Notamacropus eugenii: one gene and its partner. The protein of the gene in region 1 interacts with the protein of each later gene in a pairwise test. Links are inferred from orthologs where the notes say so. Each region holds a gene or a part of one and is shown on either strand. Other genes may lie near its edges.

What was found. The genes of interacting proteins can lie anywhere in the genome.
Region 2: the proteins of PRKAB2 (region 1) and GRN interact in binary tests that used the Homo sapiens proteins (3 or more experiments, as listed by UniProt). The link is inferred for Notamacropus eugenii from reciprocal best matches to the Homo sapiens genes PRKAB2 and GRN.

Annotation. Positions count from the first base shown.
Region 1 is NC_092873.1:301,712,330-301,720,406, forward strand, and holds the start of PRKAB2 (5'-AMP-activated protein kinase subunit beta-2), read left to right. Parts: upstream 1-4,781; 5' UTR 4,782-5,140; coding exon 5,141-5,302; intron 5,303-8,077. UniProt on the Homo sapiens protein: Non-catalytic subunit of AMP-activated protein kinase (AMPK), an energy sensor protein kinase that plays a key role in regulating cellular energy metabolism.
Region 2 is NC_092873.1:349,630,741-349,638,723, reverse strand, and holds the start of GRN (progranulin), read left to right. Parts: upstream 1-4,330; 5' UTR 4,331-4,446; coding exon 4,447-4,472; intron 4,473-5,065; exon of another isoform or gene 5,066-5,168; intron 5,169-7,983. UniProt on the Homo sapiens protein: Secreted protein that acts as a key regulator of lysosomal function and as a growth factor involved in inflammation, wound healing and cell proliferation. Regulates protein trafficking to lysosomes, and also the activity of lysosomal enzymes.

The DNA.
Region 1 (8,077 bases):
TTTTAGAAAAGCTTAATTTCTTTGTTTAAAAAAAGCAAAATAGAAACAACAGTTGTTTTCTTCCAGCACATTGGTGCCCAGTACTCTTTTGTACCCGAAGGGTGTGCACACTCCACTTTGGACACCAGTGCCCTAGGTGACCATGGGTTTCTAGTTCTGTGCGTTTAAAGTTTTGTTTCTTCCCTCAGGCTATATATAACTCCTTCCTGCTGCACCTGGGTCTCTTGCTTCCCTTTGACAGCCTAACTTCATGTACATTGTTTCAGCAAAAGCCTGATGTCAGCTTTACCTGGATATGGGTTCTATGACAGGTGTTCTCTTCACAGCAACTCAGACTTTTTTAATAGCTGTGTTCTGGATTATTCTATCTTCCTGATATTTTTCCAATCCTTTTATAGTGCAGTGGATTTGGTGTCTGACCCCTCCCCATTCCCCTTTCCTGTTCCCTTCTTTTTTCTCTTTGAGCTGGCTGCCCTTGTAGGTCAGGGGTTCCAGAGTGTTCACACTGCTACAACTCACTCTCTGAGGGTCTTTGTGGACACCCTACGGTACAGGAGCTAGATTTATACTACTTATAAAAGAGACTCAATCCCATGCTGATATACTTCCCACTTAACAAATCAGAGAAAATGAGCTCAATTTACTCAGAAACTTTTGCTAAACAGAAGGCAAAGTGAGGGCACATTCTAAGTTCAATATACATGTATCCGTAGAGGGAGGAGAGTAGACACAAACTTACAGAAAGACAGCAGGGAGGTACATCTCCTCCCTAGGAATGCCTGGGTCTGCAGCAATTTATAACTCTGAACTTAGGGCTTTTAATGCCCTTTATCAAAGGTAATCTGCACAAAAGTTTACTAATGACTAGACTATTTTCTCTTAAGATTTAAAGTTTTTGATGTAGTTATAGAAAAGATTTCCTCCAATAAAATAACAAGTGTGGCTTAAATATATGGATTCACTCTCCTAACTCCCACTCCAACAGGCAGGTTGGGTCCCCAGAAAGCAATGACTTCTTCTCCCTTCAGGACTGTATCAGTAACCCTGAGGGGTTGTGTCTTCTTATAGCACATATGGAAACCAGGCATCAGATTTCTGGTGTTCTTCCAACCACTTAAAGCTCCCTAGGTCATAATCTGTTCTGTTCTGCCTCTGACACTTACTCACCTAAGATAAGGAAATAGACAAAAAAAGACAAATCCCGCCCCCCAAAACCCCAATCCACTGTGCAATAAATTCATGGTCATGTGGTGGCTGGGTGGAGAGGTAGTGTACCTGTTCCTGTGCTACTTTTCCTTAAAGGCTCACAGCATTTCCTCCTTTTCACTGAATGCTGACAGGAAGAGAGAGTTTTGTTCATGAGTCTTTAAAAAAAAAAAAAACCCTGCATATGACCTGGGAAAAAGCACTATCCTCACACATTTCTAGAAACAGGCTCACCAAGTATCCAAGTGGATTGGCATCAGGAAGCATATATTGTACATGCTCAAAGAACTGGGGATTTGTTGGCTACTCCTCCCCCCGCCCCATGTTCGGGTGAAGAGGGGAAAACTCTCATGGGAAGTTTGGGCTCAGTAAAAGTTTTACAGCTTCTGGAAAGTCTTCCAGCGTGGTCTCTTCCTTTTCAACTCAGGGCCCAAGTTGGCCCATTTGGACCATTTGATGTGTGTGTGTGTGTGTGTGTGTGTGTGTGTGTGTGTGTGTGTGTGTGTGTGTTGTTGAAAAAATCTATAGGATGTTCATTCAGATGCATGTTGAAACTCTAGGCAATAGACATTTTCATCCGTTTGGTCTTCCCTATATGGATAGACAGATCAAATTCCTTTGAGTGATTAAAAATCTTTCAGGAGGCTCTGCAATGTTTTGGGGATTGATTAAATCAATAAAATAGCATCTGCAAATAGGAACTTGTGGAGGATTTTACCCTCCTCAGCTTGGACTCCGTGCTAGATCTCTATTACAACAACAAATATTTTTGGACAGCAAGCATCTCTGATGCCTCATCTGATGCCAATTTCCAAAGGGTCCCCAAACAGTAATTTCTGTTGTTACCTCTTCCAAGGGATCCTGAAAGATCTTGATGGATGGATGGGAAACATCTTGTAAAAAGAGCCTGTTTTACTGAACCAAGTACTTTTCATAATCAGCAATAATAATTATAGTTAGAATTTATATGGTGTTTTAAGGTTTGCAAAGTGCTTTACAAATGGATGTAGGTGCTATTATTACCCCCATTTTACAGACGAGGAAGCTGAGGCAGACAGATGTTAGATGGCTTGCCCAGGGTCACATAGTTCATATCTGATTTCAGTTATAGCAGCATGCACACTCACTCTGGAACCCCTGACCTACCAGTATGATGACAGGTTATATGAATGAGCCAGCCCAAAGAGAAAAAAGAAGGGAACAGAAAAGGGGAATGAGGAGGGGTCAGACACCAGGTCAGACACAGACTCCAGCTCCAGTGCTCTGTCTGCTGAGCCACCTCATTATCTCCAACAATGAGCACACTGGGATCTTATATTCTACATATTTCACTCCATTTTGATATTGTTGTCAATTGTGCACATTGTTGAATATTGCTATAGAAAGTCTGCTTATTCCCTATTAGTATCACCCTCAAGGACAACCTCAATTCATGCTACTGATCATCTTAAAATTTAATATATAGTTAGGAGGGAAGCTACATGAGTTAGTTAGTGGTCCCTGACATTTTCTCCATCAACATTTCTTTCTGCACTTTTGGTTAACTTTTCCTCCTGCAGATACTTTGTACATCAATCCCTTAATGTCTTCAGAATTGTATAATCTCCAGAACAGATTTCTATACATACTTGATCAAACCCTGCTGCTTTTCCTATGTTTTGTTTTCTTAGTGCTATTTCTACCTCAGGGACTATGATTTTAGGGTTGAAATACAGTGATTCCACTAGGTTTAGAGGTCTGTTGAAATGACTTTTTGGTAAATCATTTCTAGTTTTTTTTATTTCTAATCTTCTTTTCATTTGCATCCTTGAATGCTATCGGGATGACTTTGTTTAGTTGGCTATCTTGCCACGCTTTCTTTTAACTCCTTTGAGCCTCTCTTGCTTTTCACTGCTTTATGAGAAGGTATTCCTCATAATCATTTATAATTCTTCTTTATAACATTTTTATAGAGTTCATATTCTAGCCTGGTATTGTCTTTGGCAGATATTTCTCTGGCAAATCAAATGAGCATTCGATGAGCAAGGCATTTTTCTGGAGTCCTTCATTCTCTGTGTAGGAATTAATTTACATTGGTTTAACTTCTGGATGAAATTATGGCAATGTTGTCATTTTTTCCCCTGAAGAGCTTATAAGAACCTTTTCTAAGTTGTCTTGCCTTTTGAAATGTAGACACTTTCATTTTTTTACTGTTATTTGGTGCTCATCATATCCTGCACCCACCAATTTTGAGGCAAGAGTTCATCGCAGAGTCTTTGGGCTGGGTCATCTCTAGTTGTCTGAATTGTTATCCGGTCACTGCACCCAGATGGCTCTGGAGAAGAAAGTGAGGCTGGTGACTTTTCTCAGCACTCTCTCACTCAAATCAAAGTAAACTTCAAGTCATGTTATCATCTACCTGATGTCATGGTGCTTTTGGAGAATGAAAGACAAACCACAATTCTCTGGATTTCCTCAATTCTTTCTTTAAAACCATACTTGACCCTATATATCTCACCTTGTCCTGTCTTTGAATTAAAATCAACATTCACTCTGCTACTTGATTAATGTAAAGCTGGAAAAAAGGTGAGAAAGGAGAGATGTACATGGCCCACTGTGGTTCAGAAGAAAGAACTGAAAAAGTCCAAAGACTTGTAGATTTGACAGAAGCCACAAGCTTCTGTATCATGAACTCTTCCTTCAGAATTGTTGTGTGCAGCATATGGAGAGCCCCATAAACATAGTAAAGAATGAAACTGTGCATTTCAGTAGGCAAGAAAGCTTATTATTAAAGTGGGAGCTATTCCTCAGTTAGCTGTCTGTGCACACACTGCTAACTCTTCACCGTCTGATCAGAATTTTTAATAAGCAAACAAAAAAAAATTAACGAGAGATACTGCCTAAGAGCGAAGTCAGCAGAACCAGGAGAACATCATATACAGTAACAGGAAGACTGCATGAGGAGCAGCCATGAAGTACTTAGCTGAGAATGGCAGTACAATGATCTAAGACAATTCCAAATTGTGAAAAATACTCTTCATCTCCAGGGAGAACTGATGAACCGAGTGCAGATTAAAGCAGACTTTTAAAATTTGTTTCTTGGTTTTTGTCGTTGTTAACTTTTTGCAACATGGCTAATATGCAAATGTTTTGTTTGATTTCATACTTAGGATCAGTACCATATTCTTTACCTTCTTAAAGTGATAGAAGGGAGAGAATTTGGAATTCAGTATTTTTTTAAAAAATGAATGCTGAAAATGTTTTAAAATGTAATTGGGAAGTAATTAACAAAAAAAAGTAGCAGTAGTTCACAAGATATAGTTTGAATTATTTTTAAAAATGGGACACATAACATAACTGCCACCGACGTCCCCCTCCCCCAGGTCCTCAGCTTCTCCCTCTGTCCAAGGGGCGGGCTGGACCCTACGACCTCACCGGGCTTCACACTTAGACTGTGAGGCTGGGGAGCAGAGAGGCGGCCCCTCCCCTCCGCGGGCTCCACCCCTAGGACCACGCCCACCGAGGCACCTCCACTACCATTGAGAACAAGCCCGCCCGCCTAGAGAGGCACGCGTGGGGGAGGGCCGAGGAGGACCCGGCGGCTTCCTCGCCATTTTAGGAGGAAACGCGAATCGTCAGCCCTTCCGTTTCAATAACTTTATTGAGCCCACAGGCCGGGCGCAACCACCTCTGCGCACGCGTGCGGCCGCCTTCCCGCCCCACCCCCTCCCGGGAGGAGGGCGCTCCGCTGCCCAGACGAATGGGGCTGCATCTTTGGTGGGGGGTGGCTGTCCCGGGGAACTCTCGGAGAGCAGTGGGAGGAAGGCAGGGGATCCCGGGCTCCTGCTCGCCGTCTTCCCCGAAGAAGGAGGGGGTGGTGCCCTGAGGAGGCCCAAGAACGAGCGGCGGAGGAGGACAAACCCATCCCCCCCCTGCTGGGGACCTCCGAGCCGCCATGGGCAATACCACGAGCGAGCGAGTGCCAGGGGAACGCCACGGCTCCAAGTCCCACCGCGCCGATGGCGCCGGTGGCCAGGCGCACGGCAAAGAGCACCCGCACAAGATTATGGTGGGCAGCACGGACGACCCGAGCGTCTTCAGCGTACCCGACTCCAAGGTGCGCGGCGCTCGCGGCGGAGGGCAGGGTTCCGACCCCGCTCAGCTCCCCTCCCCGGGCGGTGTGCCTGGGAGGCTGCTCAGTTTCTCTAGTCTGCTCAGTTTCTCTAGTCTGGTCAGTTTCTCTAGTCTGCTCAGTTTCTCTAGTCTGGTCAGTTTCTCTAGACTGGTAAGTTTCTAGTCTGGTCAGTTGCAGCAGAACGCCTGGGCGCGCTGCCCTCTCGCGGTGTGCTCGGCCTTGGTGTTTGCCAAGGCTTCTGTGGGAGCCGTTTTCTAGGGTCTGAAGAGTTATCCGTGGTGGAAAATGGACTGACCGGCTAGTGCAGCGGGGCAGATGAGGGAGGCTCAGCCGGCTCTCTTAAGCCAAGCGCGCAGGGACCATCCTGGAATCCCAAAGCAGGCCTTGGCCTCAAGGAGCATCCATTCTAGTGGAAGAGAACGTGCCCTCAGCTATGTATGGACAAGATATAAAAAGTGAAAGGGATGTCTTGCCGGGGGGGGGGGGGGGGGGGGGAAGGCTTTTTTGCAAAAGGTGGGTTTTGACCTGAATCTTAAAGGAAGCCAGGTGGTAGAAAAGACTATTGGACAGCCAGGTCAGAATAATGGGAGTATCTTGTTCGAGGAACAGCAAGGAGCCAGTGTCAGTAGATCAGAGAATGGGTGGAAGGGAGAGAAGTGTAAGAAGACTGGAAAGGTAGGGAGGACTAGGCTGTGGAGGGGTTTAAAAGCCAAACAGGAACACACATGTATTTGTGTGTGTGTGTATATGTGTGTGTGTGTGTGTGTGTGTGTATATACACACACACACATAATATATATTACACACATATACATACATATCCTGGAAGTAATAGGGAGTGTTAATTTTTTTTTTAATTGATCTACTTGTTGGATAGTCTTTTCTTTCAGTGAGAAGAAGAGTACTTTATTTACTAAGTAGAGGAGGGCTTTAGAAAGGTTGCTTTGGCTGCAGATTTAGGGGGAAATAGTAGGGAGAGCAGCCAGCACGTTGTTGAAATAGTCCAGGCATGAGTTGATGAGCCAGGTGGTGATTGTTGAAGGAGAGAAGGTCAAGTACAGGAGTGTTGATGCTAAGGTAGAAACAAGCAGGCTTAGCTCCAGATTGGATGGATGTGTGGGCTGAGTGGAAGTGAAGAGCTAAGTGATTTGGAAGCCTGGGTCACTGACAGGATTGCAAGGGAAAACTATGCATCAATTGGAACTGCCTGTCTAAATCAGGGATTCTTGTTTTTGTGTGTGTCATGAACCTCTTTGCCAAGCAAGTCTATGGATCTCTTGCCTGAATTAATATTTTTAAATAACTGAAGGAAATGCTGAATTTCAGGTAGAGGTTAGTGAAAAGTAAAATGTGATTCTGTTCTCCTCCCCTCATACAAGTTTGTTGATCTTCTGAAAACCAGAGGGTGGAGGAAAAGGGGCTAGGGTCTCCTAGAAGGCCAGATATAAAGGTTACTCTTGGGATCCTTCTACAGTGACTTACTTGACAAGTAGAAGCTCTGAGAGGAATGTTGACTTTTTTATTTGAAAAACACCTGAGGGTTTTACTGAACCACAAATTCAATATGAGAACAGTATTACATAGCCCAAAGAGGGGTGGGGAACATGTGGCCTTCTAGATCCTCAAGTGTAGAACTTTGACTAAACCCAAATTTCACAGAACAAATTCTTTTAATCATTTAATCCTTTAAAGAGATTTGTTTTGTGAAGCTTGGATTCAATCAAAGGTCTGCACTTGAGGATCTAGAGGGCCACATGTGGCCTTGAGGCCACAGGTTCCCCACCTCTGGCCTAGGAAAATAATTCACTCATAATTTGGGGCTGGAGTGGGGGATTGTACATGTTGTATTCAGTTCAAATTCACAGTTTAGGAAGGCCATTGAGGAGACACCGTGGTGTAGTGGAAAGGGCTTATGTAGTTACATTAGACCCGTGTAGACCTGGTTCAAATCCCATCTACTTAAGTATGACCCTGGACAAATAAATCACTTGGTTTCTCTGTGCCTTAATTTCCTTGTCTGTAAAATCTGGGAGTTGGACTTGATAACTCTAAGATCCCTCCTAGCCCTGAATCTTTGATCTTAGGAAGCTGGAGAATGTCCAAAAGGACTGTAGGCATGCCCTGAAGATGATGATTGGTTGAGGACCAGGAGGATGTTTCAGCCTGAAGAAGAGAAAACTTTAATGGAGATGTGATAGCTGCTTTCAGGTATTCTCATGGGCAGTCATGTGAAAAAGTGGATTAGATTAGTTCTTCTTGGCCCCAGGACAATAAACTGGGTATTGCGTGTGGCAATTATAGGGAAGGAGTTGACAAGTCATTGTAAAGAAAAACTATACAACCAGGAGAGCTGTCCATAAATGGATTCCTTGGCTGTAGGAGGAAATGGATTTTCCTTTAATAGATCCTCCAGCAGAGTGTAGATGACCACTTGTCTGCTCAAGTCAACAAGCATTGATTGCTTACTATGGGCCAAGCACTGTGCTAACCCAAAGAGGGTCAGGAGGACATCCTGGAGAGGAACGAAGGAACTATCTCAGATGTTTGTTGCTCAGGGCCTTCTTTTCCTGGGCTTGGGCTGTCTTCCCTCTCCCTCCTAGTAGAACTTTTTGAATAATTAAAGTCAGTGTGATGGGTGGGTTTTGTTTCGTTTTTCTAGGTGAGTCTCCTGATTTGGGGGCTAAAGCACACAAAAGAGAGGTCTCTGCTGTTGGGTCCTGGTCATTTCCAGGTTTTTAGTCTGTGGGACACATTGCT
Region 2 (7,983 bases), about 48 Mb from region 1:
CCCTATACCAAGAGACACAACAATCAGCCTGGTTGCTGGGACTCTGAGCAAGGTGCCAAGCAGCCAAAGTAGGTGCCTGACCTATCTGGCAAGTCTCCCAGGGAGAAGCCACTAAGAAGAGTAGGAGAGTGGATGGCTACAGCAGGGTCCTCACAGGGGATGCCCATGCCAAGGTAGAACACTGAAGGGGACACATGATGGGGGAAGGGGACGCAAAGATGCCAGCTGGGTTGATAGGCTGCGGCAAGGTGATGACAACCCTGCCAGGGACCCAGAAACCCGAGATCAGGTTGGAGGGGAGAAGAAAGGGGAGACATAGAAGGGATGGATCCTTCTTCCTGCTCAGCATGCCTCCTTTTAAACGGCTGTTTCTAGTCAGTTGGGGAAAAGATTATCTTACTTAAAATAAATTCAATGTATAAGTATGTGAATATATTAAATATATGGGGACTTAAAGAAAAAGAATGGGATGTTCTTAATGAAAATCTGGAAGCAAAGAGTACTTGCTGGCTCCTGTGTCTGAGAACCGGGGTTCAAGGCTTGACTCTGCTACTTGGTAGTTCTGTATGACCTTGAACAAGCCATTTCCCTTTGGGCTAGAGTTCTCATCTGGAAAATGAGAGGAGTTGGCCTGGATCTCTAAGGGCCCTTACACCTCTAGACTCTGTGGTCTCCTAAAATCCAGGGACATCTATTTTGGACTGTCAGGGCTTTCTTTTTGTTCTCTTTCTAGTTTTTGGCTATGTACCCAAACAGTCCCACTGCTCCCCAAAAGACCTGGAGTCCAGCTAGTCTCCTCACATGCCAGGTGAATTCTTATCCCCAGGCCTCTGTTCTCCCTGTTTGAATACCTCTCCCCTCCTTTCCAAATCATCCCCATCTTTCAAAGTCTGGCTCCAATGCCAGAAAGCATTCCCTGACCTCTTGGATAGAAGATAAAGGCTGCTAGGTTGGCCCTCCACCTCACCCAGAGCTCCTGCCCTCCTGCCAAAGCTTTTATTGTGGCTCTATTACTGTGGATGTTTGGATCATAACCTGAACCTAAGGTCTGAAATATCCTGAATTTGGAGTCACTGTTTAGTGTCAGAAGGAACTACAAAGGCTAATCTGGCCCAACTGATGCGGTTTAAGGGGTTCAGGGACCCCCGAAGGACTGAAGTACTGGACAAGTCATCTGGAAAGAATTCACAGACTCAAGCATTCCTTGACTCAAAGTGGCCAAGGTTTATGGTAACGCCACTATGGTGGGCAGAGTTCCTTAAAGAACTTGCAACTTAATAGGAATGATGCTAAAACTTATATAGGAAAAGTAGTGGACCATCTGGCAGATATGCTAATTAAGTGATAACTTACAACCCTGGTCACTGGCGTCATTCACTACTGGAAACCAGGGTAAGGGGTTTCTCAGGGGTGTATTTTTGGTCTTTAGGTTCTGTAGCAAGATAGCTTTGAGAGCTGGTGTCTACAGCTTGGCATCTGGATTGAATATGATAACTTTGGGAATCAATACATGATAATTCTATGGTTACAGAACAATCCTGTTTTTACAAGAGAATTTCTTCAGTGCTCAGCTTGTTTTCTGATGGGGAGAGATAGTTTGTTTTACTGGGGCACACTCATGAGTTATTGGTGGGCATAGTGTCCTTGGGCTCAGGAGAAAACTGTCAGGAATAGCGTTTTGAAGCTAGGGAGAATGTGATCTTGGAAGTGGAGTCTAAGCACAAGTATCAGATCACAACCTCTTCATTTTACAGATGAAGAAACTGAGGCTAAGAAATAAAACGACTTAGCTTCACAGAGAAACAAGTGGGTTTTGTACAGAGATCTCTCCAATTCTAAATCCAAAGCTCTTGGATTCCAACTCTAGGAGCTTATAGTTGAGGTGGGAAGATAAGATGGAGAAAATGTGATCAGACCCTGTCACAATCAACAGTACAAACAATGCTGCAGTCTCAGAAGGCCTTTGGGGGGGGAAGCAAGACCAAGTATACAGGTCTTCTGAGTATGTGTAATGAAGGGTAGAGTGAGGAAAGGCAGGCTAAGAGGAAAAGAAAGGAAACAGAACAAAGAATTATGGTCAGGCAGACACCAAAATCTGCCTGGAGCTAGTTGTGTTGTGTTGGCTGGAAGGGAGAGATAAAGCTAGACCCAGGGCTAAAGGCCTTGAATGATAAGCTAAACAGTGGAGTCAAACTCAAATAGAAGCAGATTCCCCAAAGGTGACGTATTGACTTAGAAACCTACAAATTAACATTAGCTATGAATGCATGTATGTGCGTGTGTACATGTATACAAATATATGTATATACATATATATGCATACACACATACACACACATATATATGTACACACACGTTTTATTTTATTAAATATTTCCCAATTATACTTTAATTTGGTTCAGGCATTGGTTTGACACCTGTGAGCTTTTATCCTGCAGGAACTTTGGAGGGAGGCTAGATGGGGGCAGCTAGGTAAGGGAAGCAGATAGAGCACTGGCCCTGAAGGCAGGGGGATTTAAGTTCAAATCTGACCTCAGATATTTAATAGCCATGTGACCCTAGGTAAGTCAATTAACCTTTTAAAAAAGAGACAGATAGGCTGAATCTAGGGAATTACTTGGTAAAGTTAGCGTTTTAGGAAAGTTCATCTACCAACACAGCTTCAGGCTGTGAACCTGATCTGATTTTGATCTACTAGGGAATGACCCTGGAGGCAAGGTGGTCATGTAGAAGACAGTCTTGGAAAAACTTGAGTGAGGGCCTACATACTGAAGTAACTCCACAAAGGACCTGAGCCAAACTTCTGGACACGAAAAAAAGAATCCAAGAATAGGAAATCTAAAGATAACACCCCCCCCCCCAACTTGAATTCCTAGATTGGGTCCCCAGAGAGCAACAGCTACCAGGGCTCTCAGGGGTTCCCACTCCTAACACTAAAGCTTCACAAGTTTCAGCCTGTATGTCTTCCCTTAACAGACATCTGGTAGACATACTTAGCTGTTTACTAATGCTACTGTTTACTAAGATGGCATAATAAGAGTAGTAGCTATAAAACATTACCTCCCCCCATAAATTGGGGGTGCATATTGCCATAAATATACAGAAGATCTTAATGAGTGGGCTCCAATTTGGAGTCAATGACAGATATAGAGAACAATACATCTTCAAGGCAAATCACAGCCACGCCAGTCCAAGACTCCAGGGTCTAGCCATTTCTCAAGAGATCCTCCAGTGGTTTTCTGCTGAGCTTGAGGCAGGATGCTCTACTTGTAGGACAGGCTTGTTTCTTATATGGCGCAGCTTCTCTGGTGAATAATAGCTCTGCTAGATTCCCCTAAGATTTGTTTACTCTTCACCAGGCAGTTATGGTCTCCTCTTTCTCCAGTGGAGACCTAGCACTAGCAGAATCCTCCCCAGTTCTGCTCCTTCAGGGTCTCAGATAGCAGAAGTTTTAGCTTTTCATCCCAAAATGATTCTTCAAGTATCTGTTGGGCAGAATATATCCTCTTCGGGTACCCGGCTCTCATTCTAAGCTACATGACAGATGAGGATGAGAGCGGAGATGAGAGAGATGACAGAAGTGTCTTCCTTACTTCATACTTCTGATGGGGATAAGATCTGAACCCCCCAAAAGAAAAGACCATGTCTTTGGGATCTGGACCCCTAAAAGGAAAAGTCCCTGGACTTTCCCCTGCAGCTCAGGTCCCTGGTGGTCGCCTGAGGCCCTCCCAGTTAACTTCTTTATTTTCTTCACATCTAGACTCCTTCTCTGTTCTCTCAGCTTTTTGTATAAAAGACCCATCTTGTCTCCATGCAAAGTGCTCAGACTCCTTAAGGGTCTAGCCAATGCTTGGATTACTTAAGAATCTGGCCAATATGGCGCATTTTTAGAATCAGGCCCCTCTTCTATCTGTGTTTTAATAAACCTTGTCTTTGGCTGCAAGAAGGCTTGGGCCAAATTCATTGCGGCAGGACGTGCACGTCACTATGTGGGGTGCCAGCACCCCTAAGTCTCCACAGTTTCGCAGGGCTTCCCTCCTGGCCTGGCTCCTGGACCTTGGCTTCCTTAGATTGCCCCTGTTCTGTCCACAGTGACTGGAAAGAGAAAAGCCCTGGTTCGGAACCCGCCTCCCCCGTTTCCCAGCGCGCGATCCCAGCAGTCACTGGACTTGCTCAGCTTGTTTCCTCCTCGGTGACCAGAGGACCCCCCGTGGAGTTCGAGACACGACTGGAAAGGGCCCGGCGCACGTCGGTCAGGATGGCCTTGAGGGGGCCTGCGGGGGTGGGGGGGGTTCCGTCCGGGGCCGGTGGGCCGGACCACCCTCGGCTGACTCAGCTAGGGGCCTGCGGACGCCTCGACCGTCGGCTAGCCCTCGTGCGCCCCGCCAAGGTTTGCCAGCCCTCCACGAAGGGCTCTTTTCCCTCCTCCCAACAACCCTGAGCCGGATGTTAGGGTTCTCCTCATTTTACAGGTAAGGAAATGAAGAGAAGTGGAGGGCAAGGGGCTCACCCGGGGTCGCCCGGCTCAGGGCTGGCGGGGAGAGCTCCCCTCCCCCTCCCCCAGCACCAGCACCGTGTCTGGGTTCGAATCCGGGCTCCAGCAGCTAGCTGTGCGCGCCCCGACAAGTCCCCTAACCTCTCCGGGCCTCAGTCTCCCAGCTATGTAAAAGGACCGGGGTGGGAGGCCCGGACCGGATGCACCTGGGAGCTCCCCTTTCCTGGGCCCAGCTCCAAGGGGCCAGCCTAACTGGATGAGGAAAGGAACTGCTGGGGCGGGGGTGGGGATGGGGGGGTCGGAGGCGTCACGGGACAAGGCCGCGGTCAGGACTGGCGCCTAGCTTGGGGTGATCGGCGTCCGTCGCTCTCCTCCCTCCCTTTTTCCCCCGCCCTCACACACCGAACCCCAGGCAGCCCGGGGACCACGTGATCGTGCCATCACATGACGCTCTCGTAATGGGAGGGTGAGGTTGGCGGGGTGGCAGCGGGGGTGGGAGGGAGTCCGGGTTCTGCCGCCCCGCTGGGGGGGTGGTGGCAGCCAATGGCGGTGGGCCGGCCCCGAGCTCTCAGCCAATAGGAAAGAAGTGGGCGTGGCCCCCAAATCTGGCCGGGTCGGTCGGCGTGTTGCGGCCCCGCAGTTTGTGGCCCAGGGCAGTGAGGGTTGCGCTAAGGTAAGCAGGGCCGTCTCCCGGGGGACCCCGGCCAGCGGGGCTCTGCTTGGGGAGCGTGGGGGGGGGGGGGCTAGTGGGCTCTCCATGCTTGGAAATTGGGAAGGGGGGCTTCTTTTGGGGGGGGGTCAGCCCCCAGCGGGGGGGCTGCTAGTGAGCGGTGACCTCAGTGACTGCCTTCCTTGGAAGAAAGGGAGCCTGCCCATGGCCCCCAGACCCCTTTGAAGTTAATTTCCCGTCTCCCCCACCTCCGTTTAAAGTGGACACCCTGAATGATTTAGAACACTGAAAACAAATAAAATAACAAAAAAAGTGGGTACCCTGGCATCCTGGGGGTCCCGTCTACCCCCCGTGCCAGTTGGACGTGCTCTCTTCCCTGGGCTATTATCTGCTGGGGCAAAGTCCCCAGAGCCAGGAAGGAGGCAGGCAGGAGTCTGTCCCCACCCCCCCTCAGTCCCTAGGGAAGGGGTGAAGAGCCGGACACAATCAAGCCTTGGGCAGCCTGGCACAGCCACAGGACTGGGCCCCCTTCACCCCATCCCCTCTGTGGCTCCCTACATCCCTAGAAATAGCTTAAGAAGGAATAGCCTTTGGGAGTCTGGTTCAGGGTTCAACAGCTCCCTAATAACTTTTTCTTTTGGGTGTCTCACCCTCCTGGCTTCTCTCTGCCATTTTACAGCCCTGAGTACAAGGCGGTCCAAAGCAGGCACAAGAACAGAGAGAGAGAGGAGGTTGGGAATTGGTATTACTAAAACGTTGTTTCTCTCTTCATGCTGTACAGCACAACACACACAACTCCCCTAGGCTTGATTCCTTTTTTTGCAAACTCAGTTGTATTTCTCCTGTGGTTTTTTTTTTTTTTTTAGGAGGAGCCAAAGGTTGGGCTTGTATGGGTCAGGGCCTCAGGTCCTGAGAGGAGGAGTTTATCCAAGTAAAAGCTTTCATCTCCCCATAGAGGAAATAATTTTGTAGAGGCTGGAAACCTTAGAGACTTTGGTGTCTGCCCATCTTTAGACCTTACATTCCGAGAGGCCGAAAGAGAAACAGGTGGAACACCTAGCTAGTGTGGGGAAAACAAGAAATAAAGCAGAGGAGGACCTAGCTGGACCTCAGAAGCTTTGGATTTTTTCTGGGAAGAAAGGAAGGCGGAGGATGAGGAAAGGAGCCTCCTCGTCAAAGTGACTTCTGTGGTGACCAGGGAAGAGTAGGATGAAGGATACCTGGGACTTAGTTGCAGAGCAGGGTTTGAATTTACCGTCACCACTACTGTAATGTCCCACCTACTTAGCTACATCAGATTTGGGGGGCTTAGTCTCTCCCTGTTTCTGCCCCTCCCTCCATCCCAGCTTGGGGATATCTGGATTTCAAGGAAACTTGGTCTCTCAGATGAGGTAAAGGGTAAGAAGGAGGTAACCTCAAAGACCTGTCCTAAAGCTGTTCTCCCCTCCCAACCTATCTCATCTGTGGCTTATGTCAGGAAATGATGCTGACACTTTCTCTTAGCAGTTACTCTTAGTGACCCTGATTTTTTTTTCTTCTATTTCCTCATCTCATCGATTATTGATGGAGGGGGTGAGGCAGGCAAACGTAGAGAAAGAGGGACAAAGAGTTGAATCAGAAACATTTCCCAGATCCCAAGAGCCTGGCCTCTCTCCAGCTTCCATTTTGGAAATTTGTTGAGTTGTATTTAGTCACGTCCAACACTTCATGACCCCTTTTGGGGTTTTCTTGGCAAAGGTATTAGAGTGGTTCGCCATTTCCTTCTCCAGTACATTTTACAGATGAAGAAACTGAGGCAAACAGGGTTAAGTGACTTGTCCAGGGTCACACAGCTACTAAGCATCTGAGGCCTCATTTGAAACCAAGTCTTCCCAACTCCAGGCCGGGCACTCTATCCACTGCACCATCTGGCTTCCCATCATCTTGGAAATGTGTTCTAATATTACCCAACCTCTTCTTGGATCAGTGAAAATGACATCCTCCCCCATAAGTTCTTAATCAAGGGCTGGGTAAGGGAACCCATATAAGAGTTTCCTGCCCTTACATCTATCCTTCTTTTGCAGAAGTTAGTATCACCCCCCAAACCCTTCTTCCCACCCCATCCCCACTCTTGAAATGATCAGTCTTTTCCCTCTTTGAGCTTGAAGGAAGGGATGACCCAACAAGTCTGGGCCAGCCAAGCGTGTCTCCACCACTGCCATGAGACTTAGTTCCCTCTGCTGATTCATGGGTAGGGTGGGGGAGGGGGGACAAGAGACTGCGAAGCAGCTGTTGAAGTCCAGATGAGGCAGCATTTTGGTGTGTGGGAATAAGGGGCTTGGAGAAGAGAGATTGTAGGTGGGAAGAAGGGCGGTAGAGAAAGGGGGAGTGGGATGGGGCATAGGAGAGCTACAGTAGAGATGGGAGAGATGGGTTAGGTGTGGACTAGTGCTCTACACTCTTCTTTACCCCTTGGCTACGCTCCCCTGTTTAGGATCCAGGGAAGGGTGTAAACAGATGTGGTTGACGGAGAAAGAAGAGTCTTGACTCACAGATTCTTTCTACTTCCCTTTTTCTTTTGAAAGTTTTCCAACCACGTTGTTTCCGGTGTAATCATGTGAGCCTTTCCTCTCAGTCAAATTGATCCTTGAAGCAAGTTTAAACAAGAATGATTACTAGGACATGAGCACAATGAGGAATGGTTCCCTTTGGGAGACCTTCCCATCCGGCTCCAGCTCCCTGCTCCCCCTTTCCCAGAGGTTAGGTATAGCTGCCTGACCCAGGAGATAATGAGTTTGAATGTCAACTCTGCCACTGGCTATCTATGTGACCTTGGGTA